Linked DNA regions of Callithrix jacchus. The protein of the gene in region 6 purifies or fractionates together with the protein of the main gene of each other region. This does not show direct contact. Links are inferred from orthologs where the notes say so. Each region holds a gene or a part of one and is shown on either strand. Other genes may lie near its edges.

Region 1 (3,959 bases), on a different chromosome or scaffold from region 6:
CATAAAACCCAAAAAGGACAGGGTTCAGAGGGCTTCCTGATAACTGAACAAGTAGAGGGTTCCTGGATGGTGGCACACCTGGAGAGGGCATGGAAGCTCTGTACCCCCTGCCCTATGCACCTCTTCAATCTGGCTGTTGATCTCTATTTTTTTGTAATATCCTTTATAATAAACCAGTAAATAAAGTGTTTCTCTGAATTCTGTGAGCCACTCTAGCAAATAAATTGAAGACAAGGAATTTGGGGAACTCTGATTTATAGCCAGTTACTGGAAGCACAGGTAAAAACACCTGGAACTTGTGATGGGCACTCGAGGTGCAGAGGAATGTTGCAAGATTAAGCCCTCAACCTGCAGAATCTGATGCTATCTCTAGGTATAAAGTACCAATTGAATTAGAGGACACCCAGCTGGAGAACCTGATGCAGAATTGCCTACTTGCTCATGAGGAGAAATCTTTTTGGGGTCAGAGGAGTATTCTCTGTTGAGAGAGACTAGGAGAAATTCAGTTTTTCTTTCATCAAAACAACTGGATTAAACAAAGCTAGTTTTCTTTACTACAGAATGACTCAAATCCTCTTACATGCTAAATGCATTGTGACTTTCTAGGAAAATGCTTGCATATGCAACATATTAAAATTTTTTTTAAGAAAAAGTTGTTCTATGCAAATAATGAATTTTCAGTATTTTGGACTAGATGGTAGATGAATACCCAGCAATTAAGGATAGCTCAGAAATACTGAATGTTTTACTATATGCTAGGCACTGTGCTCAGTGATACACATGCATTTTCTTTTAGTCTTTATGATGCTTCTTTGAAGTAGGCACTAAGAAACTAGTAGAAAACTAAAGTTTAGTAACGATAATGTTAGTCACTACACTCATTGAAACGGCAGAGATACAGGCCTAAATCAATCAATGGCAATCCATTATCAGTTTTAATTATTTGTTCAATTAGTTGCCCATCAGGTTTACAGAATTCTGTTCTAGAGAGACTCATTTTCCGGTAACAACCCAATAGTCCTGTTTCCTTGCCCACAAGAAGCAGCATTTAGACCTTTAAATTACGTAAAATTAGACATCAGAAAGAATAACCCCAAAGTCTGGTTTCCTAAACCAAATAAAAGTAATATTTTAAGTTAGCTACTTGTCAAAACAAATGGACACAAACACTCTTCTTTGATAAGAAATGCTTCCAAATCAGAAATTATTCACTTGTAACAAAAAACAAACTCTTGCTGCCTAACAGCTCTTGAGTTCTTGGTTCCACAGTATTTGTCACATACATCTGGCCCTTTTATTCCTCACACTTTGATTTCAGAATAATTCATTTATGCAGAAATGTAACAGAATGCATGGAAAAAACAGATGACAAAGCAAATTACTGAAGAACTTGTGCTTTTAACTATATCTGTATTTAGATTTTAACCCCATGCATAGAGGCTGCCTCAACACCCCAAAGCAAACAACAGGCAGACTTACATAATGCGTTTATGAGACATATAGTAAAACTACAATCTTAAGGATGGGCAAACCTCATATTCAGGTCTCTCAATCCCAAGAAACCATGTCCAACAGATAGAAAACCCATCCGCAAAGCAGTAGACAGATTAATTAGCTACCTTGATGAAATCTGATGTTATTTGCAACTACTGATTATTTATTAGTATCTGATGATACGGGTATCCAACAACTAGTAGAAGTAAATAATGCTCAGAAAGGAGACTAGGATAGAGTCTGCTTAAGATTTCCCCTACAAAAAACATACGTGAATTCAGGTGTTGGTGACTAGGAATACATGTAAATAAGAGAGCCATCATGTACTTCCACATTGAGGACAGACCACCACTATACAATTCACTTACACAGTCACATCACCGTATGCTTCTTATGCATCAGCATATACTTAAACGTTTATGTATGAATTTTTGTAAGCAGTACGTTATTTAGTCAATAGCTTTGAATCTGGGCAGAGGCTCTCCTTTTCCCAGCCTCCATTCCCTTTTTAACTCCTCTTCCTTGTCTGTCATCAGCGTCTTGCTCGATGCAGTTTCATAGAAATAAAGTAACTTGGATGGACACAGACCAAAGATGTTATTAGCAAAACCTGTCAAGTGTAACGATTCACCCCCACCTTCTGGTCATTACAAACACAGCAGGGTTGGCGCTCTTTCTCCCGAGCCCTTTAAATACACAATTCGAAGCAGCTCTGCTCACCCCCCAACACCCAATCTGTCGCACCAGGCCACGTCCCTCGAAGTATCTGCTCCTAACGTTGGCCCTTCCTGCCCCATGGTACTCCCTGGCATTCCTGACTGCCTCCCACTCTTAACAAACCTTCCCCATCCATGGCACTGTTCTCTCCCCATCGCCCCAGAGTACCCCTCAATTCCAATTCTTCTCCCCTCAACTACTCCCCGTCCGCACACCCCTGTCCTCGTCTTCCTTCCTCACGGTACCCCCGGCCCCAGCTTTTTCCCACTCTGGGGTCCCTTCCTAGATCCCCGAGGCCGGCTAACCAGCCCAACTCGGACGTCGAGGGGCGGCGAGGCAGGGGCGTCATCTTCATTTCCTCCCTCCTCACAGCAGCCCCTCCGGCTGGGAACAGGCCAGCGCCAGTACCTGAGGCTCCCGGGGAACTCCCGGCAGCTCTCCCGGGCGGGCGGTGCTGGACGGGCGGGGGAAGGAGTGGGAAGCTGAGGTAAAAAGCTGGGAGTGGGGGGACGGTGGGTGCGGATCCGGCGTCGGCCGCAGCTCCGCAGCAGCGCCTCCGCTCACCGAGCCGATCGGCGCTCGGCGGCCTGGCGCCAGGCGGAGGGGGCGGGTCCAGGGCGCGGAGATAGTCGAGGAAGTCGATTCCGCCGGGCGCTCTTCACCTGGAAGAGCCCTGACCCTCAAGGATTTTAGATGCAGCTCCTCCCTGTGCTTTAGGGGATGAGTGACCACTGGTTCTCCAGGTTCCGGTCGGGATCCGGCGTGCGTGGAGGGCGTTTATGGGAGGGATGGGAAACTCAGAACTGCTCGGGTCGGGGTGCTGGCTGGGGTGATAAGGCGTTTACAAAGAAGGTAGTGCTTTGTGCCAGATCCGTCCCTCGGGCTGACTACGTTGGGTGGCAAGAGGAGGGTGGCTTGCGGCTCGAGGACCTGCTTCTGTTTCGTCTGGGGCCTTTTCTGAAGAAAGAAGTTCTGTTTGATCCCCTGTTTGCAGAATTAGAGCTGGACTTGGAAAGAGATTTTAATGGTTCCTAGGTCAGCCTCCTTTCTTTAGGTAGGAGAAATATCTGGTTCAGAGAGGAGATTGACTTAAAGTTACACAGCTAGTTTAGATAGATAAGGGACGGCGGCTCCGTGTTCTTTTCCCGGTATCCGTTAGTTGTAACCTGAAAGCCTTCAGGTTTCAGGGAAATCGCCCTTGCCTGGCCATTCCGCTGCTCTGCCCATGCTTCCCTCACTCCTTCCTCCTCCGCCCAGTTTGGTATCATATTTAGATCTCCAAGCCCACAGATGCTGGCTACCAAAAACAATTCCTAATTTTGTTTTTCCGTTCTCTTATTTATTATCCATTCCTCCCACGCCCCAGCTGGAGTATTTTACTCATTCAATCATATATCCACTATACATCTTTTAACATTAATACAGTATTTATGGGTCCTTTGTTGATATAGTATTTTAACTGTCTGAAATACCGTGCCAGGCTCTCTCCAAAGACAAAAATAAGGGCGTGTTCAGAAACAAAAGTAGACCAGAAAACAGCAGAAGATCTGAGGACACTAAAGGAAGAAATAGACACCTTCATAAAAAAGTTGCTCTTCGTTTGATGTGTAATTTTATGCAAACATGCACTAACGAATTTGAAAGATGCCATGACTAGGGCAATGATACTCAATGCTAAGTGATTCACTTGGAGTTGAATCACCTGGAAAGCTTTTAAAACCACTGTGGGTGGGGGGGCGGTGGGGAAC
Region 2 (3,325 bases), on a different chromosome or scaffold from region 6:
CCAGTGGGATGACCCTCACTGAGTAGCAGCAAAGGAATCTGAGGTTTTGTTACACTTTGTTCTTCCAGGGTTGTTGTCGGCACTGGATCTTGTAGAAGTCAATCCTCAGTTGGCCACCTCAGAGGAAGAGGCAAAGACTACAGCTAACCTGGCAGTGGATGTGATTGCTTCAAGTTTTGGTCAGACAAGGGAAGGAGGGCACATTGTCTATGACCAACTTCCTACTCCCAGTTCACCAGATGAATCGGAAAATCAAGCACGTGTGAGAATTTAGGAGATACTGTGCACTGACATATTTCACAATGGGCATTCCAGAATTATGAGGCATTTGAGGGGACAGATACTAAATGGCTGTCTGGTCAATACTGCCTTAATGAGAATATCTGCATATTCTCACAAATGTAAAGTTTCCCTTCTATTTTGGTGACCAATACTACTATAAATGTATTTGGTTTTTTTTGCAGTTCACAGGGTATTAATATGCTACAGTACTATGTAAATTTAAAGAAGTCATAAACAGCATTTATTACCTTGGTATATCATATTGGTCTTGTTGCTGTTCCTTCACATTTAAGTGGCTTTCCATCTTTCCTTCCCTTCTCCCACAGTCTGGCTACACAGTGCACCCCTGAACTGTTAGCCCACAGCAGCAATATGCTTATTCTATCCACATCCCTAACATCATGCATTCACAAGGTCAAAGTCTGGTCCACAAACCCTTTTCTATAGGAAGTTCAATGGCTGCGAAAGAATTTGTAGTAAACCAGGCCTCCCAGGATGGCGAGCTCCAGTAAGATGATGATGGAAAGCAGCAGCTTGTTGGTTGTCACTCTACAAAGAAACAAAGTGGGGAGTAGTCAGAATTTTGGATAACCTACTTTGGGGTTTGACCTGGGACCAAGGCTGGATACTCTGAGGCTGTTTGTCTGATCACACAGCCACTTAGCAGGAAGTACATATAAGGTTCTTTAGCTGTCACTTAGGAATAATACTGTCTACCTCACAGTAATGTTAAACTGAGACAATAAAAACCAAAGCACAAAAATGATTTCTTGACTCTGAAATGTCTTCAAACAGTAGTTATTTCCTTTAAAAATAGCTTTTCTAGAAAGAGGGGTTATCGAGAAAAAGTAATCAAATATACATCCTGTTCAGAATGGGTCCTGCCCTAGGATAAAGTAACTTAGAAGCCTGGGTAATACCTTTCAATCCCTTGTAAACTTCTATTCCTCTGCCCTATTTTTCCCTTTGCTCTCCTATCAACCCAAATGGATATGTTATAAAGGTAGTACAGGAGCTTAAAAATCCAACCTCTGGTTCTCATGTTCACTCTAGGCTTCTTCCTCTTCCACAAAGAATTTACCACTGTAGAAAAATCTCACCCCTCCTGCTAGTTACATGACTGAGTTGTAGTTTTGTTTTATGCTAGGCCACCTGTACACAAGGTCACACACAATCCTCTCTTAAACCCAATTTCAACCTCAGTGGCAATATTTCTGCCCTGGATTTGTTGCTATTAGCACAAGGGTTTTGTTTTTTACTTTTGGTAAAGACTACTTTACTGGTGGCAGTTAGTACAATTCAAATATTGATCTTCAAAGAAGGGCTTAGAGATCTTCAAAAAGGGCTATTTATCAGACTAAGAGTCCATAGAGAGCTGAATGAAACTGAATTAAGTCACTGTGATGACTGGTCAATCCTGTTTCTTGGGAAATGAAACCATAGCCAACTGATGATGCATGGCATATGCTGCTTCACCAATTGAGAACCATGGTGGCTCTATATAGGAGGTCATCAGCTCCACCACCCTTTAGATGCCAAGAATTCCGTTCTCCTCCTGAAACAGCTTGTGTTTCCTGGAGCTTCATTTTCAAAATGCCTGTGTGAAGCAATGCTCCAGGTCCTCTGGGCAATCTGGCAGTGCCAGCAGATTCTACAGCATCTTGCCTCAGTTAATGCCCACCAACCCTGACAACTCCCTAAGGGTTTTATTTTTAAAAATCTACTTCTTGCTAACAAGACAGAACTTCCAGAAAAGGTGCTGACTCCCATGAAGGGCAAACAGAGCCAAAACACAAGTACTATGCAAGTGAAAACTGCTTTCTAATAGAGATTTTACAAATATATTTCAAGGAATAGGAAGCTCTGTTATTCCCACGTGCTGCGTTCTCTAACGAACATCAGCTGTGATTAAATGTCCTTTCAGTGGAGAAATTTTTCACTGCTCTAAGTCAAAGCAGTATATTCTTTTAACAAATGATTTTATCCTGAGCTACTTATCCAAGACCATATTCCTTAGTGTATTTCTTCTGATCTGCTGGGTAGCACTGAGTATACGGGGACTATCTGGCATCAACTGCTGAGGTGCTTTATTAGGACTTTTGTAAGTCACTATTTTAAGCTTTTTGGTTGAAAGACATTAAGACAAATTTCATGACTTTTAAAAACTTACTTTCTGGACATTGAACGGAGAATCTTTCGACTTTTGCTCAAGTTTTCACTTGTGTTTACCAGCTGAGAAGAGAAAAGAGTGATTATTTCCTTTCAAAAGTACATTCTGTACAATTTTAATATCCCTAGATTAACAGTGGGCATTAAGGGCTGTTGAAAAATTCCAAGAAATCAAGCCAATTTAAATGATGGCCTTTGCGTATAAGTAGAACCTGGAAAGGACAAGATATTTTAGTATTCATTAAGTAGGCTTACGAATCATTATATTCCTAGGTTGCTGCCAGGGATGGACTCCTGAGACTGAGCTAATCTTTCACTATGGCTACTCCAAAAGGGAAGCCTTCAAGTACAGCCAGCAGATTGGACAACCAGTGACTGCAGAGGAACTTAAGATCTGAATTTCATCAGCCAGATTTCAGGACAGCTTCTTGAGGTGGCATTTGCTTTTTGTTTTTGTTTTGAGAAAGAGTGTTGCACTGTCACCTGGGCTGGGGTGTAATAGTGCAATCTCGGCTCACTGCAACTTCTGCCTCCCAAGTTCAAGCGATTCTCCTGCCTCAGCCTCCCAAGTATCTAGGATTACAGGTGCCTGCCACCATGCCTGGCTCATTTTTGTATTTTTATTTTTTTAGTAGAGACAGGGTTTTCATTACATTGGCTAGGCTGGTCTAGAACTCCTAACCTCGTGATCTGCCTGCCTTGGCCTCCCAAAGTGCTGGGATTACAGGCGTGAGCCACCACGTCTGGCTGCATTTGTATTTGTAGGTTAGTGTGTTACTGCTTTTGGGATCTCGTTATCTTTTTTCTTTACCCTCTTAAGAGACAGTTACATTGAATTGTGAAAGGAATTAACCTCCATGGAACTTTCAACTGC
Region 3 (3,500 bases), on a different chromosome or scaffold from region 6:
TCTCCAGGACAGTGATGGAGCTGAAGATAAAATGCGAAGCCTCCTTCTTGATCTCGACTATGCTGGAGAGGGGGAAGCTGACCAGAGTCTCTCCAGTGCTGTCAGTCATGAACCGGAGCGACAGTGACGTTAAGGACAGCTGGCCAGTAACCCATCGCCTCTCTGGCTCCAGGTAGTAGGTACATGGCCAGGTGTGGATGCAGACATCCCTGCTCATCTGTTCCTGGGTCTGCCTGAGCCGAGGTCCAGGCCTCTTCTGCCTCTGAAGGAGAAGAGACAGTGACGCTGTGCTGTCATCCATGGACTGGAGACACAAGCAACCCAACAAGGATGCCACCTCCCCTGCGGCTCTGGGCTCACACAGGCTGCAGCACACGGCTAACTCTACCCACCTGTGGCTGCAGGACGAAGCTCATGTGCCCTCTTAGCTGGTGAAGGAGGAGCAGCCAGAACAAGAGGGCTGGTTTGGAACCAGGACCCTGAGCCCCAGACTCATGCCCATCCCCTAAGCAGAGGGTTCACACCGTCATCCCCCTCACCACCCTGTGCCCCTGCACCCAGCAAAGCCACCCTGCTTGGATCAGCGTCCACTGCTGGATGAGACCTGAGGAGGGCATCGCTAGAGACGTTGCCAGGGCCCTGGGCCTCGGACCTCAGTCCCAGGCCTTACTCTCAGACCGTTCCAAGGAGTGCTGTCTTTTGGCCATGATGTTCCCTTTAGATGCTCATTCCCCTTTGGAAACTGCCATTCATCAACTTTGCTGCACAGAGAAACAATCCTGCAGACAAGCGTTTCCCTTTCTCCTAACCCCAGCTAACCACACAGCACTCCACAGACCTGACTGGTAACACGTATGTGCATTAGCTGACTGCGTGTACAGTTTGACACAGCTGCAGGTCCTACCATGTTTTCACATCTACATTTATCAGTCCAGTCTGGAAAGTCATGAATGACAGATTTGAATGAACCCTCATGGAACACGCAGCCCAACCTTCTCGCCGTACAGATAAGGTTGAGAAAACGCGAGGGCCTTGTGCGAGATCCAGACACGAGCGCAGGACTCTGCCAGGCCAGAGCCAGGCCGGGGATGCCTCACCAAGGTTCTGACAGCAGAGAGGGGACCACAGGAGGGTGGCAGTTGTCCCACCTCTCTCTCACAGAATTTCACTGCAACCTGGCTTCACTTACACAACCAGGACAGCCAGCCAGTGTAAGCCCTTCAGATACTGAAAAGTGTGGGCTTTCCACAGCACAGAGAGAGGCTGTGGGGGCCTCCACATTCTGGCAACATGTTCATGAGTCCCTCCATGTGTCAAATGTCCTGCTGGGCACCAGCCACCCTGATCCAGTCCCTGGCTCCTGCAGCTCACCACGGTTGTACTTGCAGAAGCCAGGTCTTCCCTGTAATTGCTGCACAACACACCATGTCCCGCAACACAGGGCTGGACGAGACATATGGACAGGAAATGCCACACCTGCACCTGAAGAGCTTGCCTCAAATGGGACCCTCATTCTATGAGGACACAGCCATCGGAGAACACACCATGTGTCGTCACATGCAGACCACAGGGAAGGAGGCGTGACTGGACGGTGGGGGCTGCCTGGCTAGTCTCCCCAGTCCACAGACTGCCCGTGTGGCCAACGGAAGAGCCCCCACCCAGCTTCTCCCACACCAGCCCAAGTCCACCCTCCCTCTGGGGCACAGCACTCAGCACATGGAGGGTACCACGGCCAACCTACTTACACCCCCAGCACCACAGCCAGGGCCCAGTGGGCCGCACACAGGACCCGCCCTGTCCAGGGCCACCCACTCCCCACCAAGGCAATGGCAAGGGCCCAGCACGCTGCACACAGGACCCATGATGGATGTTTTTCTGCCACAACGACTTCAAGGCCACCCAGCAGACCCCAGACTACAGGGACACAAAGGCATCTGCTTCTCAGAATTAGGAGGAGGATAAACTACACTAACTCAGTCCTGGTTCTCAAAGTCAGGCAAGCCAGTAGCTACAGGAGGGGCCGCAGCCCTCCTTGCTCAGCCCTAGAGTTGCTGTGCCTGTGCTCCCAGCTGAAGAGGCTGCCCAGACCTCCGCCACACCTGGCCTTCGAGGGGAGGGACCGCACCTCACCACCACTACCTCCACAGAGAGCCAGACACGGCGTGGGCAGTGAGGCTGTGCTAACCACTGCTCAGCAGGCATGGCTGGGAGGTACTCCAGGAGAACGGAGTAAAACTATGCACAAGCTCCCTGAAGAGCCCTGTGGCTGGTGTGGCAGCACAGTATACAGTTCTGGAAAGATCGCCTCACCTTCTGGACCTGTGGACCCACCACTAAAGTAAGTAAAAGGCCTAAGGTCACCAGCTATGAAATGTTCTGAATTCAAAAAGAAAGTTGGGGGTGCTGTGGTCCCAGCTACTCGGGAGGCTGAGGCAGGAGGATCACTGAGCCTGGGAGGTTGAGGCTACAGTGAGTTGTGATTGAACCACTGCACTCCAGCCTGAGCAACAGAGTGAAATTCTGTCTCTTCAAAAAAAAGAAAGAAGGGGAGGCCAGGCATGATGGCTCACCCCTGTAATCCCAGCACTTTGGGAGGCCAAGGCGGGCAGATCACGAGGTCAAGAGATGCAGACCATCCTGGCCAACATGGTGAAACCCTGTCTCTACTAAAAATATAAAAATTAGCTGGGTATGCTGATGTGCACCTGTAGTCCCAGCTACCCAGGAGGCAGAGGTTGCAGTGAGCCGGGACAGCGCCATTGCACTCCAGCCTGTCACCTGGCAACAGAATGAGACTCTGTCTCAAAAAAAAAAAAGAAAGAAAGAAAGAAGGGGGAAAGGACCGAGAAATTAGGACATGAAGAACCAAGGCTCTTCTCGTTAGCACATTTTAAACAATAAACATTAAAAAAAAGTATTCAAGTTGCCAACAACCCAGGAAGAAGCCAGAGGAGAAACTTGTGACCACACTTTTCCAGCCGCAGGTTTCCAGGACTTCCTTCCCAGAAAACCTAAGTAAACAGAGATGAAGCGCGAGGACAGAAGCAAGGACACCCCACGGAACATCAGAAGCATCCCAATTTTGGACACTGCTCCCATGAGGGACAGCCATTCCCCCACCCAGTGACACACCTGGCCCCATACGGAGGCCACGGGGGAACGCAATCCATCTTCACCTCCAAGGCCAGACCCTCCTTCAGGGGCCCTGATCCCACCCTCTCTCTCTCAGCCCCGAGATCTCCCTGGCCTTCCCACGCCAGGCACTGCACATTCTCCATGAAGGACCACGCACAGTCTCCACTCTCCACAACTACACAGCTCTGCCAGGGTGGAGTGAAAGTGGCCACAAGACACCGACATGGGGTCCACTGCCCCACAGGACCTCACTTACAAAAACGTTAGTTAGACCTGGCCATGGGCCGAGAGGCGCCCTGCTGTGAGTCACTGCCCCTGGCTCCCTGGCCACGACCCTCTCCAGGTCTCCAGCCCCACCTCTATGA
Region 4 (4,031 bases), on a different chromosome or scaffold from region 6:
TTAAGTAACATTTTTTGCCAATTAAATTTATTTATTTAACATATTTAGTATCTAAAACTTCTTTGTGTATATAGTGTTACAAGATTCAAATTAGTACAAGCAATTTTTCAAGCTTACCAAGAATTTCACTGCTCAGAAAAATAATATCCTTGAATTGTGGTGTGTCTACTCTAATTCACAAAATTAGGGAAATATGCAAAATTTGAACCCTCCATTCCTATCCCAAAACAAACACTACATTATCAATATTAACATAATTTTTTTAATCCCACTAAAAACCAGATACAATCATTCAGTCACCTAATGTGCTATACACGGAAAGACCCAGAGAGTTTAAAACTGGGCAAAACTATCCCAATCACATGAACACCACTAATGCGGAAGAAAGACGTAAAGCTAATTTAGGTTTAATAGCTATACCTGTTAGTCCTTTTCACTCTTTTTCTCCAAAGAATCAATAAGGAAACTAACCAATTTCCACAGAAAAAAGGAAAACAGCAACATTACCATCTGTGTACAGGAATCAATTTACAAAATTACTCAGCAATATTGAACTGCATCATCATTAGAAAACAGAGAAGAATCAAATATCTCCTAAGCTCCTGGCCCATTTTGCCTGCTACTCACTCAGTAACTGTCTAGCAGCATTTCAAACTAGCAACGAGCCTGAACCCCACACCTCCCCACCCCACCTCCCTGCCCCAGATCAACCCACCAATCATGCCCATTAACCTATATCCCCTATCTTGGCTGAAGGCCTCTCCCACTCCATCTCTCAAGTTAGAAACCTTATAGAGATGAGTTAAGCCTTCGTCTCTATAAGCAGGCAGGTTATTAAAGCATGTCAACCCTATTGACAAATGTCACCCAATCCTACCCCTGCACTGTTACTTGAATTCAGGCCATTACCAACTCTTCCCTGAAGTCAATAACCCGCTAACATGTCTGGCACCACCTTCATGGGAGAGTCACCTTTCCTCCTCTTCCATTCCTCACACCCTGAGCATATTACCTTTTCCCTGCTTCATATCTCCAGCATACCATAATGAATACTTCCATTCTAGCACTGAACATCTTATTTTTACTCCTCTGTTCACTTGTCTGCCTGCCTGTGAATTCTAAGGTCTTGAAGGCACCACTTTTGGTTACTCCAGTATCCTCAGTGGATGGTACAGGTACACAGTGACAACTTTGTAAATGTTTACTGAATATGTCAAAATTCTCCGACCAACCCTCTCCCCATAGTCCATTCTCTACATTAATGTCACATTTTTCTTTTCTTCTTTTTTTTTTTTTTGAGACGGAGTCTCCCTCTGTCTCCTAGGTTGGAGTGCAGTGGCATGATCTCCACTCACTGCAACCTCTGCCTCCCGGGTTCAAGTGATTTTCCTGCTTCAGCCTCCTGAGCAGCTGGGATTACTGGCGTACGACACCATGCCAGGCTAATTTTTGTATTTTTATTAGAGACAGAGTTCTACCATGTTGGCCAGGCTGGTCTCGAATGCCTGACCTCAAGTGATCCACCCGCCTCAGCCTCCCAAAGTGCTGGGATTTCAGGCAAGAGCCACCACACCCGGCCTGCTGCCACATTTCTTTCTTCACCAAAAACAAATCTGGCCGGGTCCACTGGTTAGTTGCCTACAAAAGCCATCTGAGAAGCTGACCCTTCACACTTTGGCTCCAACTCTTCTTCACTCCAGTTTTTCCCGTCACTGTAAGTACACTACAATCACTGTTCCCAGAGCACATTTTCAGGCCAGTGTATGATACATACTACAGATTGTGCACAGAATCTCTTTCACAGGATTTTCCCTCTGTCTAAAACATTCTGTATTTTTCAGGCCCTGCTCACAAATCATCTCTTCCTTAAATTTTCTCAGGCAGAACAAACTTCTCCCTCTATGATACCTACACAGTTCATACAGCTTTTTTGTGGTGCCTATTCCACACACTATTTATTCTTACTTCAATTTTTACGTGTGCTCCCACTAGAAAGTCAGATTGTTGTGGAAACCTCCTGCACCAGGAGAACCCCAGTACCTTACACACTGCTTGCCTCGAGTCATGTGATAGAAAGGGTTTGAGTTTTTCCAGTGTTTGAAAACTGGCTCTGCCATCTTTCACCTGCGCACCCTGGGGTAAGTCATTATGAGGCTTCTATGAGCTTCATTTCCTCTTACGAAAAATGAAAATCTCTATTTGGGCAGTTACTGTGAAGATCTTAGCTTATGAAATTACGTATGTGAAGCACCCACCATAGAACACAGCACCGACTTTTCATTAACCCCGTCAGATAAAAATGAGCTGGAGTAATGAAACGGCGGGGGGCGGGGGGAGCCTGGGGGGTGCCAAAATAATGATTTAAGGAGAATCAGTTCAGTCCCACGAACATTTCCTGGGTGCCTATTACATACTGTACCAGAAATGGCAGAACATACACATCAAAGGACGACGGAAGCACAGTCGTGGCCCACTGGAACAGTAAAATGCCAGATGACAAAGGTTCACCGAGTAGTTTTTGGGGTAAATCTATGGTCCTCTCCACACAAGGGCCTCTGCTAGGGCGGTGGTTCTCAACTGGGCGATGTTGCTCCCCAGAGGACATTTTTGGTTGCCATAAATGGAGAAGAGGTGCGAGAGGCACGTAGCAGGTAGAGGCAAGGGATGCTGCTAACGAGCCTCGGATACAGAAACAGCCCCCACCACAAGAAGCCTTCAGAAGCTCAGCGCCCAGGTAGAGAAGCCCTCTTTAGAGACCAGCTCCGCAGCACTGCGCCGGGTCCCCGCCCACACCGGGTCTGAGGAGCGGACTTCCGGCTGGGTGGACCCATGGCGCTGCCCTAGGCGCTGGAGGCCTGACCCCGACCCTGACCTCGGAAGCGCAACCCTGGGAGTGGAACCCCGGGAGTGCGACCCCGGGGACACCAAGCCCCGGCAGCCCCGCAGGCACCAGCGCGCCGAGCCCCCTCAGCCCCGTGCCCGCCCTCTCGTCCAGCCGGGTGCTAAGGCCGCGCCTGTGAAAGACGGACTGGGCGTCCACACACAGGCCCGCCCGGCGTCTCACTCACTATTTCTCTGCTTTGGCGAGGTGCTCCAACCCTTCGTTTATCTTCTGAGCCGCCATCTCCACAGTCAGGTCTGTGACGTGGAGAAAGAATGAGCCTACCTCTTCCTCGGGCGCCGAGAATCTACTCGAATAGGCGTGGGAACGCCGAGTAGGAAGCTGGTGCGGTGCCACAGCCGAGCGGCTACGGAGGGCCGGAGGGCTCAAGCTACTGCGGCGAAGCGGGGCTGGGAGCTGGCCGCTGCGCCCTGCAAAGAGACATCACGCAAGCGCGGTGCGTCAAGGCTGGCCCCATCCAGGGCACCCGGCGCAGGCGCGGTGAGATACTGATGGGGCGTATTCTTTCACTCAGTATTTACAGAGCACCTAATATGTCAGGCACTATTCTAGACACGAGAAAATCAGCAAAAATGCCCGTCCTCTTGAAGACTTGCACCAGGAGTTTTTCATAAATGTGAAACTACCGTGGGTCTTCTTTGTAGGGTTAATTGGCCTTATAACTTATTACATCTGAAGATTCTCTGTATCACAGCTAGAATAGTATTCATCTATCCATCCATTCTACCTTTTGGGTATTAATCGTATGTCAGTCAAGAAACGAAACAGACTTGTAAGCCCTGATTACTGTCAAAAAATCCGCTCCCGGCCCAAATAATCGCTCTAATATTTGAAGCCGTGATAAGTGCTCTAAACGGAAAGTCGAGGGGCATAAGGTCGCGTACAGTGGTCTGGTAGAAATAGTAACCAGTCATACAGTTGGCTCCCTTCATAATTCATGATGATGTCAGTATCCACATGGATGATTCCTGCAATGCCTGTACAGCCTCTCAGCTTCCACCTCCTGTGATATTTCCCACACCAGAGCAGCCACACATTCTCAGGGTCACATCCTTGGCCTTACTCATAATTGCATGCCCTCCCTAGTGTCAGTTTCAAGCAGCCCACTTTACTTTCCCTTGCCATTCCT
Region 5 (4,026 bases), on a different chromosome or scaffold from region 6:
GCGCGGTCTCGGCTCACTGCAACCTCCGCTTCCTGGGGCTCAACCGATTCTCTGCCTCAGCCTCCAGAGTCCTGGGATTACAGGCGCCCACCACCAAGCCCGGCTAATTTTTTGTATTTTTAGTACAGACGGGGTTTCACCGTCTTGGTCAGGCTGGTCTTGAACTCCTTGACCTCGTGATCCACCCGCCTAGGCCTCCCAAAGATCGCAGGCATGAGTCACCGCGCCCGGCCCTTAAAGCAAATTTTAAGGTTTCCCATGGGATTTACAACAGTACTAAACTCTTAGTAAGTACTCAAAAGTTATTTGTGGTTTGAATAGGCTGGATATAAACCATTACGGTGGATACAGCACTTGTTTGCTAAGCAAGAGAACTTCCCTGACCTAGAATGGCAGTCTCAAGTTGCTAAAAGCGAATCTCGAACTTCTCAACAAATCTTACTCTCAAAGATGATTAAACAACAAACTGAAATGGGAGGAGGGTGTAAAGCGTTTCCTCTCCATAACTATAAACCGAGATTCTGACTAAATATTAAATGAACACAGTAACCGCTCCATAATTAGTTGCCATTATTAAGATACATCACACACGGAGAGAAAGGAAAGGAGAAAAAGGAACGAAGGTTGTCAGTCGCGAGAGGTTGAAATGTGTCGCGGGACCTGAGACTACCGGCTTTAAGCACCAGGGTCTTTTGGACTCCCTGCCCAACTGAGGACCGAAGGTCAGCGGCTTCCCCTAAAGGTCAAGGCTTTGGAGCCACATTTCCTTCTGGGGCTGGGAGCAGAGCTGGAACGCCCCCACGAAAATCCGTACCCCGAAGCCAGCAGCACCGCCTGCCTGTAATCCCGCGCCGGCTCTGGGAGAGTGGACCGCTGGGTTACCCCTGCGCCGCAGCCTGCCGGAGCAGAAAGCGGGCCGCGTCTTGCAGCCACACAATCTCCCTAAGGGACAGACCACCAGGACCCTTGGGCTCCAATACGCTCAACGCAGGCCGGCCCATCGATACTCACATTCACAGCCAACCCCTCTTACTCCATCAGGCCGCCGAGAGACAGGCGAGGGAGCTCCCTGACGCCCCAGACTCCCCCCTTCAGTTTTGGGTCCGGGAGCCTGCTCCGGACCCGCTCCCCGCCGGGCCCTGCCACAGCCGCCGCCAGCGCGCAGGCGCACAGCGAGGCCGTCACGCTCTTTTTTTTCCTTTGCCTGCAGCCGTTCTCAATAATCTAGCTTTATTTGAACACAAGAGAGTGAACAACGGACACACAGGAAGAGGTTTTTCTCAAAAAGAATGGAGGAAGAACAAAGGCAGGTCAGCTTGCGGGAGAGTCGGTCCGCAGCATTGGACGCTATGAACAGTCTCCCTGGTCCCTTTTTCATTTTCTTTATTTCTCCTTGTTCTTTCCCGGCCTCCCTCTAGCTCCTTCCTTGGTGTCCCGCCATTTCCTTTAGTCAGTGGCAACTGTTCAGGCTAAAATTTGAAATAACTCCTTCCTTGTAAAATTTACTAAAATTTAATGGGAGGTGCAAGAGCTTTTAGGACAGACCTGCCCGAGTTTCAGATCTCGGACTAGCTACTAATAATTTACGACTTTGGGTAAATTAAAATTTTTCTTGGAACCTCAAGATCTTGAGTTAAAATTAGGATAATGTTGGGCCAGTCACGGTGGCTCATGCCTGTAATCTCAACACTTTGGGAGGCCGAGGTGGGTGGGTCAGGAGATGGAGACCATCTTGGCCAACATGGTGAAACCCCTTCTCTACTTAAAAAAAAAAAAAAAAAAATAGCCTGGTATGGTAGCGGGCGCCTGTAGTCCCAGCTACTCAGGAGGCTGAGGCAGAAGAATCGCTTGAACCCGGGAGGCAGAGGTTGCAGTGAGCCGAAATGACGTCACTGCACTCTAGCCTGGCAACAGATCATGACTCGGTCTCAAAAAAAAAAAAACAAACAAAAAACCCTAAAATTAAGACAATGTTATCTCACAGGGTGTTGCTAAAATTAAATAACATAGGTCAAGTGTTTTATCCATGAATGCTGCCTATCACAGAGCAGACATTCCATTATAACTGGTTTTATTCTTACTCATGCCTAAGGTATTTATAATTTTTTTTTTTTTAGGTAGAAACGGGTTTCACCATCTTGCCCAGGCTAGTCTCAAACTCCTGGGCTCAAGTGAACAGCCTTCCAAAGTGCTGGATTACAGGTGTCACCCACTGCGCCCAGCCTACATTTATTATTATTACTGAGACGAAGTCTCACTCTGTCATCCAGGCTGGAGTGCAGTGGCACTATCTTGGTTCTCTGCAACCTCTGCCTTCCGGGTTCAAGCAGTTCTCCTGCCTCAGCCTCTCAAGTAGCTGGAATTACAGACATACACCACCATGTCCAGATAATTTTTGTATTTTTAGTAGAGATGGGGTTTCGCCATGTTGGCCAGGCTGGTCTCAAATTCCTGACCTCAAGTGATCTGCCCGCCCCGGCCTCCCAAAGTCCTGGGATTACAGATGTGAGCCACTGTGCCCAGCCGCCTATATTTATTATTAAACTTAGCTCATACCCATTCCCTCAGAGCCGTAATTTTAGTGACTGAGACTAATCAGATAAAGGAAATGACATTAAGGTTGATCATTATGTGAAGTGTTCCTCTTATATTATTGAGATTATAACATCTCTGTTTAACCAGACCGTCAATGCCTCAAATAAAAGTGAGCAGTTACATTCATCTCTATGTATATCCAGATTTGCTTCTAGAGGTTCAGGAAACTTCCAGTTCTGTGTTTGTGACATCACAAGTCCTTGAAACACTCAAGGGCTATGGTATGCTGCTCATTTTACTCTCCTTCAAAGGCATGCAATGGAAGAACTATTTTGCCCTGTAAACTCTGGCCCATCGTTCAAGGAAAAGCCTTTAGAAGACCACAGTCAGATATTGGTGATTATTAAGGTAAGCTACTTTAGTGTTTGTCAACTTTGGGATTACTGACATTTTTGGAACATATACTTTTTTGTTGTCAAGGGTATTATGTGCATTATAAGATGTTTAGCAGCAGATCGGGAGCACTAGCTCACATATGTAATCCTAGAACTTTGGGAGGTCAAGGCAGACAGATCGCTTGAGTCCAGGAGTTTGAGACCAGCATAAGTGACATGGTGAAACCTCATCTCTACAAAAAATATGAAAGTTAGCCGGGTGTGGTAGTACACACCTGTACTCCCAGCTACTTGGGAGGCTGAGGTGGGAGGATCTGAGCTGCAGAGGTAGAGGTTGCAGTGAGCCAACATCACACCACTGCCCTCCAGTCTGAGCAAGACCCTGTCTCTCTTTCTCTCTCTGTCTGTCTCTCTCTCTCTCTCTCTCTCTCTCTCTGTGTGTGTGTGTGTGTATGTGTGTGTGTGTGTGTATGTTTAGCAGCATCACTGGACAAGATGCCAGTAGTATCCACCCCCCATTTCCCTGTTATCACAGACATTGCTAAATATCCTCTGGAGGACAAAAGTGTCCCTGGTTGAGAACCATGGAATTATTATCAATGACCATCCCAACCCTAAATGAACTCAACTGTGCATTTTCTCCACCTCTGCCCTTGAAAAGTGACTACTGCTTGAGAAAGCTACACAGGAAGGGAGAAAATGGTGAGTTCATTTTTGCCCATATTAAAAAGGCCCTCAGTACTGCTTACCAGTCCTACAATGTTTTTCTATCCATTTCTTGTATTACTTTCTACAATATTCCAAATCTTCTCAACTTTCCTTTAAACTCCCAATACTATCTCCTTTTCTGTCAGATGATCCTATCTCCAACCTCACAGAGAAAACAGGTCATCAAATGAGAACTTTAACTTCCTTTTACTAAACATACAAACAGACACATTCTTCCTCTCATAATTGGGGAAGGAAGTATCTTCACTCTCTCTCTTTCTCCCTCCCTCACTTCTTCCAAAACCACTCCTCTCACCAGTGCTTTGAACTGCCTCGAAACTGCTGCTATTCTTACCCTTTCAAGAACTTTCCCTACTGACTATCCCTT
Region 6 (3,222 bases):
GAAAGAAGGGGAAAGGAAAAGAAAGAAAAAGGGTGAGAGAAAGAGGCCAGGCACGGTGGCCCACACCTATAATCCTAGCACTTTGGGCGGCCCAGGCGGGTGGATCACAAGGTCAGGAGTTCGAGACCAGCCTGGCCAACATGGTGAAACCCCATCTGTACTACAGATACAAAAATTAGCTGGGTGGCCAGGTGCAGTGGCTCACTCCTATAATCCTAACACTTTAGGAGGCCGAGGTGGGTAAATCAAGAGGTCAGGAGATCGAGACCATCCTGGCCAACATGGTGAAACCCTGTCTCTACTAAAATTACAAAAATTAGCTGGTGTGGTGGCACATTCCTGTAATCCCAGCTGTTCAGGAGGCTGAGGCAGGTGAATTGTTTGAATCCAGGAGGCAGAGGTTGCAGTGAGATGAGATTGTGCTACTGCACTCCAGCCTGGGCAACAGAGCGAGACTCTCAAAAAAAAAAAAAGAGAGAGAGAGAAAGAGGGAGGGAGGGAAAGGAAGGAAAGAAAGAGAGAGAGGAGAGGGAAGGGAGGGAGGGAGGGAGGGAGGGAAAGACCCAAATATAGGGGATTTTGCCAATGTTCAGTTCTTCCACTGCTGTTAGGAAAACAAGCTGCAGTTCAGCCCACCAAGCTGATTTATTTTTACCTTCTTTGATCAGAGCAGCAAACAGGATGTAGTCCATTCTCCTTGGAACTCCTATCCACAAACCATCAGATTTTGTCCATCAGTTGGGAGTTCCTATAGGGCATTGTCCAGTGATGATAGAATCCAGCAATTCCTCACATAGTTCCAGAGTCAATCCCAGGGGAAAAGAGGCTCCTTACTTGTCGCTCCTCCTTGCATTCCTCAGATAGCATGATCCTGTGTAAACATTTAAATTCTGCAGTACACAGTCCCAGTGGTTGTCGTAGAGAGGTACTCACTGGCCTTTGTCACAAAAGGCCTAGCAGCCTCCACATAGGGCTATGACACCAGGAATTTGTCTATATCAGTACTCTAGCCTTCTGCTGTACTGTTTGACTTGGGGAATCTTACTGGTTCCCATGTAGCATGTCCAGTTAAAGTTGCTTAAAGGGTAAGGTTATGTGCCTCAGTTTTACAATACTGGGTAGGCAGCAATAGATTATTTTCTGTTTATGGAGAAAGCTTGCTTTATATAGCCTTAAAAACACATGTGTTAATAGCTAAACTTTAGGTACGTGAAGGAAACAAATCTTCTAACATGTTACTTAATGTTAATTGTTTTTTTGTCTTCCTTAGGCTGACATTTTGGATGTCAATCAGATATTTAAAGATTTGGCCATGATGATCCATGACCAAGGTGATCTGATTGGTATGTATTATTGAAAGCTTTAACCTCAAGGTGAGTTGATAGTATTTGGCATGCACGTGCAATCCCAGCTACGCAGGAGGCTGAGGCTCAAGCATCACCTAGGAGTTTGAGGCCAACGTGGGCAACATAATGAGAATCTGTCTATTAAAAAAAAGTAAGAAAAGGAGTTAGTCATATCAGCTATAGAATTAAAGTGAGTTTAGGAATGCCACTTTAAAAATTACCAAATTTATTTTTCTTGGCAATTTCCTTATGTTATCAAATGTAGAAATTAAAGTGAGGTTTTGGGAATATTCAGTCCCATTGACTTGTTTCTTTGTAAGTCTTTGTTTAGAGAAATAGCTGTCAGCTTCCCAGCTTTTATCTCTACAAACTTGCAAAATTATGGGGTAACTCTATTTTTAAAGCTTTTTAAAAAGCTTTCTACATGGAAATAATTTCAAATTTATTAAAAGTTGCAAAAATAGGCTGGGCATGGTCACTCACACCTATAATCCCAGCGCTTTGGGAGGCTAAGGCAGGAGGATCACTTGAAGCCAGGAGTTCAAGACTAGCCTGGGCAATATCGTGAGACCCTGTCTTTACAAAAAAATTAGCCAGCCATAGTAACATTCACCTGTACTCCTAGCTACTCAGAAGGCTGAGGTGGGAAGATCACTTGAGTCCACGAGTTTGAAGCTATATAGTGAGCTATGATTGTGCCACTACACTGTAGCCTAGGTGATAGAGTGAGATCCTAGCTCTTAAAAAAAAAAAAAAAGTAGCAAAAATAAAAATATTACAAGGACCTTCTTTATACCCTTTACCCAGATTTACCTCCTGTTAACATTCTATCCCATTTGCTTTATTATGTATTCTTTCTCTGTCTATGAGTATATACATAATTTTTTCTGAATCATTTATGGGTGAGTTAAATAATTCCTAGCCCCCAAAAATTTGATGTTTTTTTCCCAACGAATAGGGCTAGTCTCTTATCAAGGTAGTAACTTGATTTCATGGTGGATAGTTTGGATGGTGGTAGTGAAACTAGACCCATAACATCAGAAATCTGTTCAATTTGCAGTCTTGAAACATCTGAATGTGTTAAAACATCCTCTGTCCTTCCTTTTGCAGATAGCATAGAAGCCAATGTGGAAAGCTCAGAGGTACATGTTGAAAGAGCCACTGAACAGTTACAGCGAGCTGCTTATTATCAGGTAAAAGTGGATACCAAAGAAAATCATTCTGTGTTTTAGACTTTTTAGGTTATCAGAGTACGTTGACATTATTGAGAACAGCTACAGGCTTTTGCTTATATTTACCTAAAGGAAAGTAGTCATAATTGCAGTCCCAGTTCCATTTTTAGTATTTTTCTTTGCAGATAGATCTACAAAAAATAATCAAACCCTGAATAAACCTACCAGAAGCCTCTTAACTGCAAAGCTAACCCTATAAACTAGCATGAGGCTGGGTGTGGTGGCCAACGCCTATAATCCCAGCACTTTGGGAGGCCAAGGTGGGCGAATTATGAGGTCAGGAGTTCAAGACCACCCTGACCAACATGGCGAAACCCCATCTCTACTAAAAATACAAAAAATTGGCTGGGCGTGGTGGCGCACATTCTTGAACCCAGGAGGCGGAGGTTGTTGCAGCAAGCCAAGATCCCGCCATTGCACTGCAGCCTGGGCAACAGAGCAAGACTCCATCTCAAAAAATTTTTTAAAAATAAACTAGCATGATACCTAAATATGGCATAAGGCTATTTTATGTCCTGAACAGCTGAATGTGTTTCACTTAGGATAGTAAGAAGTTAAAGTAGAAGACTTCATAGATATTTATGTTGACTGTTGCCATAGAGGATGGACATAGCAACTTTGACTGCTATTTATATATGAATAAA
Region 7 (3,958 bases), on a different chromosome or scaffold from region 6:
ATCCCTGTCCCCCGCCCCACAGTGATCTGTCTTGGGACACCCTCCCGTCCTGCCCTCCCCCCGCAGGTGGGGACTCAAGAATTATTCCCCCCAAAAAGACCCTTTCTAAACTTGTCCCCATTCAACGAAGCTGCCACCTGAGGAAGACGCCCCCGTCCCCACCCCAACCTTACCACGGAGACCCCCACAGTGACTTCCCCAGCCCAGGCACCAGGCACTACCTCTGAGAGCCCACACAACAACTCTGACGCGCAAGGGGGCGACCCTCTGAGGACTCCCTCAGACAACCCGCCCACCCTCCAGGGGAGACCAGGCCCCCCACCACTCAAAACGTGCTTTCTCAAGACTCCCCTCACCACCCAATACACAGAGCGCCACTGTCACACATAGGGTGACACTATGAGTCCCTTCGCTGATACTCCTGGCCCCTACCCAGAGGGAGACCATCCTCAAAGCCACCATCACACCTCCTGGGACACCCAGGCTCAAACCCAGAAAGACTCCGCGCTTCTAATGAAACCCACCACCACGCGCGCCCTTGAGGATGACCTTCCCCCGCCTCTGGCATCTCTGAGACCCCCTCTCAAGACCACCTCGCCCCAAGGCGACCTCGAAGTTCCCTCAACTTCCCCACTTCTCAGGAAAGAGAGACTGGGAGAATGCAGCAGAACTCCCCGCACAAGCAAGTCCCCTCCTCACTCCGCCCCCGCAGGGAGAAGAGTACCACCTCTCCCTACACCATGCCCAAACCTGAAACTCGGGACCCTGGACTGGGACGATCTCCGAAGTGCCAGCTCAGGGAGTCCATGAAAAGATTCAACGAATGGAATGAACCCCTTCCCCAGCTATAATCCCCAACCGTCAGAAATAAGGGAGGCTATCATTATTTACATTGCCCGTGCCCGGAAGGGAAACTGAGGTTGCGCAGCAACAATCCGAGGTGTTGGGTCTCGAACCGAGATTCCGAAGTTGGACCCAAACAGGCCCAACCAGAACTCGGACACCGCCCCCTACGGGGCGGCACACAGGGGGCCAAGGGGCGGAGCATATGGACCGGAAGCTGCCTCTGCCCAAAACCAAGATGGCTGCAGAGAGGACGGAAGTGTCTGCACTTCGGGCCTCCGAGGCCTCTCCTTCTCCCCTGGCGGTCCCGCTCTCGATGGTGACGTGACGGGGGCGGGAGTGGCGGCGCGTTCTCCTCAGCTGCGAGGCAACCAGCCAGCGAACCCAGGCCTGGAGGGGGTTCGGCCTGAGGGGGAGGGAGACTGACATGTCTCTCGAAGACCCCTTTTTTGTAGTCCGAGGGTGAGTGACAGCGACGGGGGCGGGCGGAGGGTGCTCAGTCCCCAAGTCAGCCAGTGCCCGGGTGCTGGCCCCAGCATGCCAGGCGGGCTGGGCAGGGCCGTCGGGGTGCAGAGTGGGAGGCGCAGGCAGGGGGATACTGGGGTCTCCGGAGTCCCCCATGCGTTTGGGTTTGCAGTCGGGGGCAGAGGCGGGCGGGAGGACCGCCTGCCCCCAGCCGCGCCCGCCGTGCCCCTGCCCGCAGCGAGGTGCAGAAGGCGGTGAACACGGCCCGCGGGCTGTACCAGCGCTGGTGCGAGCTCCTGCAGGAGAGCGCGGCGGTCGGACGCGAGGAGCTGGACTGGACGACCAATGAGCTGCGGAATGGCCTGCGCAGCATCGAGTGGGACCTGGAGGACCTGGAAGAGACCATCGATATCCTGGGGCTTTGGGGCGGGGGTGGCATGGGAGAGCCCCCTGCGGTGGTAGGGGCCTGGGAGGTCGCCCTCGGGAAGGGCTGGACCCCTAGGGAGGGAGATGATGTCTGGCTCTGGCCTTGACCCTTGACTCTCAGCCCACGCATAGTGGAAGCCAACCCAGGCAAGTTCAAGCTCCCGGCCGGGGACCTGCAGGAGAGAAAGGTGTTCGTGGAGCGGATGCGAGAGGCCGTCCAGGTGCGCAGAGGTCCTGCAGGCGGGGTCTTTTCTCTCTTTTTTTTTGAGATTGAGTCTCACTCTGTCGCCCAGGCTGGAGTCCAGTGGTACAATCTCAACTCACTGCAACTTCCATCTCCCGGATTCAAGCGATTCTTGTGTCTCAGTCTCCTGCGTAGCTGAGACTACAGGAGCCCGCCACCATATCTGGCTATTTTTTTGTGTTTTTAGTTAGAGACGGGGTTTCACCGTGTTGGCAAGGCTGGTCTCGAACTCCTGACCTCAGGTGATCCACCCAACTTGGCCTCTCAAAGTGCCGGGATTACAGGCATGAGCCACGCCCAGCATGAGTGTCTTTCCTCCCTAATGCTGTCTTCACCTCCAGGAAATGAAGGACCATATGGTCAGCCCAACAGCCGTAGCCTTTCTGGAGAGGAATAGCAGAGAGGTAAGCCTTCCTGAGCACCTGGGGGTGACCACGCCGTTGAGTACGAGCCAGATCCTTCTGCGTGTGTTCACCTGTCCCTTCTGTGACAGTGCCCATCCTGTGTGCAGTTGTCTTCTTGCTGTCTACCTGCCTGCACTTCCTGGGTGTGTGCACCTGAACCTCTCTGTGTGTGTGTGTCCATGGGTTCCTCTCTACTGTCTCCTCTGGCTGTATCCTGGTTTCCTATTGCAAAGGAGGATTGGAGGCCTGTGTACCCCTCTCCTTTCTGCTTCCATACCATTTGTCCTGTATACAGCTGTTTCCAGGACGCATGCCTGCCTTTCTCTCTCTCTCTTTTTTTTTTTTGAGATGGAGTCTTGCTCTCTTGCCCAGGCTGGAGAGTACAGTGGCTCAATCTTGGCTCACTACAACCACCGCCTCCTGGGTTCAAGTGAGTCTCCTGCCTCAGCCTCCTGAGTAGCTGGGATTATAGGAGTGCACCACCACACCCTGCTAATTTTTGTATTTTTAGTAGAGACAGGGTTTCACGTTGGCCAGGCTGGTCTTGGACTCCTGACCTCAGGTGATCTGCCCACCTTCACCTGCCAAAGTTCTGGGATTACAAGCATGAGCCACCATACCTGACCTGCTTTCTGCATTTTACAGATGAATACACTGAGGCACAGAGAGGTCAAATAATGGGGTCCCTGGGTCACCTTGTTAGTAGGTGGTGAGTGAGGATTGCAGGCTGTCCCACGCCAGACTCTGCCTCCCTGACTCAGCACCGTAGGGCCTTGCCTCACACGCCCTACTGTAAGTTGGTGTCCCTCCCCAAGTCTGTGTTCTGTGTCCCTGCAGATGCTGGCGGGCAAACCAGCTGCCCAGAAGTCACCCAGCGACCTGCTGGATGCCAGCGCCATCTCGGCCACATCTCGCTACATGGAAGAACAGCAGGCCACACAGCAGGTTTCGGGGCAGGATGGGTAGATCCTGAGAGGGAGGAGCCTTGCAGACCCATCTGAGGTCTGAGGTCCCTTTCTTTCTTCTTCTTCCTTCTTTTTCTTCTTCTCCCCTCCCCCATTCTTCTCCCCCTTTTCCTTCTCCTTTCTCTCCCCTCCTCCTTCTCCTCCTCCTACTCCCTCCCTCCTCCTCTTCTCCATCTAACTCCTGCTCCTTCCCCTCCCCCCTCCTTTCCTTTTTTATTTTTTTGAGATGGAGTCTTGCTCTGTGGCCCACACAGAAGTGCAGTGGTGCGATCTCAGTTCACTGCAACCTCTGCCTCCCAGGTTCAAGTGATTCTCCTGCCTCAGCCTCTCAAGTAGCTGGGATAACAGGCACCCACCACAATGCCTGGCTAATTGTTTTTTTTTTTTTTTTTCCTGAGACGGAGTCTTGGCTGTGTTGCCCAGGCTGGAGTGCAGTAGCGTGATCTCAGCTCACTGCAACCTCTGCCTCCTGGGTTCAAGTGATTCTCCTTCCTCAGCCTCCCGAGTAGCTGGGACTACAGGTGTGCTCCACCATACCCAGCTAATTTTTATAGTTTTAGTAGAGACAGGGTTTCACCACTTTGGCCAGGAAGGTCTCAATCTCTTGACCT

Evidence for each region.
Region 1: the proteins of STX12 (region 6) and VAMP4 purify together in Homo sapiens (affinity purification with mass spectrometry; 3 studies listed by BioGRID and IntAct, counting the BioPlex papers as one, with this or other methods). This does not show direct contact. The link is inferred for Callithrix jacchus from reciprocal best matches to the Homo sapiens genes STX12 and VAMP4.
Region 2: the proteins of STX12 (region 6) and VTI1B purify together in Homo sapiens (affinity purification with mass spectrometry; 3 studies listed by BioGRID and IntAct, counting the BioPlex papers as one, with this or other methods). This does not show direct contact. The link is inferred for Callithrix jacchus from reciprocal best matches to the Homo sapiens genes STX12 and VTI1B.
Region 3: the proteins of STX12 (region 6) and SNAP47 purify together in Homo sapiens (co-immunoprecipitation; 3 studies listed by BioGRID and IntAct, counting the BioPlex papers as one, with this or other methods). This does not show direct contact. The link is inferred for Callithrix jacchus from reciprocal best matches to the Homo sapiens genes STX12 and SNAP47.
Region 4: the proteins of STX12 (region 6) and NAPG purify together in Homo sapiens (affinity purification with mass spectrometry; 3 studies listed by BioGRID and IntAct, counting the BioPlex papers as one, with this or other methods). This does not show direct contact. The link is inferred for Callithrix jacchus from reciprocal best matches to the Homo sapiens genes STX12 and NAPG.
Region 5: the proteins of STX12 (region 6) and SNAP23 purify together in Homo sapiens (affinity purification with mass spectrometry; 3 studies listed by BioGRID and IntAct, counting the BioPlex papers as one, with this or other methods). This does not show direct contact. The link is inferred for Callithrix jacchus from reciprocal best matches to the Homo sapiens genes STX12 and SNAP23.
Region 7: the proteins of STX12 (region 6) and STX10 purify together in Homo sapiens (affinity purification with mass spectrometry; 3 studies listed by BioGRID and IntAct, counting the BioPlex papers as one, with this or other methods). This does not show direct contact. The link is inferred for Callithrix jacchus from reciprocal best matches to the Homo sapiens genes STX12 and STX10.

The regions. Positions count from the first base shown.
Region 1 is NC_133519.1:30,968,479-30,972,437, reverse strand, and holds the start of VAMP4 (vesicle-associated membrane protein 4), read right to left. Parts: upstream 2,801-3,959; 5' UTR 2,620-2,800; intron 1-2,619. UniProt on the Homo sapiens protein: Involved in the pathway that functions to remove an inhibitor (probably synaptotagmin-4) of calcium-triggered exocytosis during the maturation of secretory granules.
Region 2 is NC_133509.1:102,650,717-102,654,041, forward strand, and holds the end of VTI1B (vesicle transport through interaction with t-SNAREs homolog 1B), read right to left. Parts: intron 2,515-3,325; coding exon 2,453-2,514; intron 1,046-2,452; exon of another isoform or gene 832-1,045; coding exon 735-831; 3' UTR 501-734; downstream 1-500. Other genes in the region: ARG2 (arginase-2, mitochondrial), read left to right, coding at 69-274. UniProt on the Homo sapiens protein: V-SNARE that mediates vesicle transport pathways through interactions with t-SNAREs on the target membrane. These interactions are proposed to mediate aspects of the specificity of vesicle trafficking and to promote fusion of the lipid bilayers.
Region 3 is NC_133520.1:38,626,444-38,629,943, reverse strand, and holds part of SNAP47 (synaptosomal-associated protein 47), read right to left. Parts: intron 506-3,500; coding exon 393-505; intron 263-392; coding exon 1-262. UniProt on the Homo sapiens protein: Plays a role in intracellular membrane fusion.
Region 4 is NC_133514.1:52,336,881-52,340,911, forward strand, and holds the start of NAPG (gamma-soluble NSF attachment protein), read right to left. Parts: upstream 2,801-4,031; 5' UTR 2,606-2,800; coding exon 2,439-2,605; intron 1-2,438. UniProt on the Homo sapiens protein: Required for vesicular transport between the endoplasmic reticulum and the Golgi apparatus.
Region 5 is NC_133509.1:30,176,359-30,180,384, forward strand, and holds the start of SNAP23 (synaptosomal-associated protein 23), read left to right. Parts: upstream 1-1,226; 5' UTR 1,227-1,310; intron 1,311-2,738; exon of another isoform or gene 2,739-2,846; 5' UTR 2,847-2,943; intron 2,944-3,465; exon of another isoform or gene 3,466-3,591; 5' UTR 3,592-3,632; intron 3,633-4,026. UniProt on the Homo sapiens protein: Essential component of the high affinity receptor for the general membrane fusion machinery and an important regulator of transport vesicle docking and fusion.
Region 6 is NC_133508.1:64,484,230-64,487,451, forward strand, and holds part of STX12 (syntaxin-12), read left to right. Parts: intron 1-1,270; coding exon 1,271-1,343; intron 1,344-2,456; coding exon 2,457-2,539; intron 2,540-3,222. UniProt on the Homo sapiens protein: SNARE promoting fusion of transport vesicles with target membranes. Together with SNARE STX6, promotes movement of vesicles from endosomes to the cell membrane, and may therefore function in the endocytic recycling pathway.
Region 7 is NC_133523.1:11,969,157-11,973,114, reverse strand, and holds the start of STX10 (syntaxin-10), read left to right. Parts: upstream 1-1,158; 5' UTR 1,159-1,270; coding exon 1,271-1,305; intron 1,306-1,546; coding exon 1,547-1,716; intron 1,717-1,860; coding exon 1,861-1,955; intron 1,956-2,319; coding exon 2,320-2,382; intron 2,383-3,219; coding exon 3,220-3,327; intron 3,328-3,958. UniProt on the Homo sapiens protein: SNARE involved in vesicular transport from the late endosomes to the trans-Golgi network.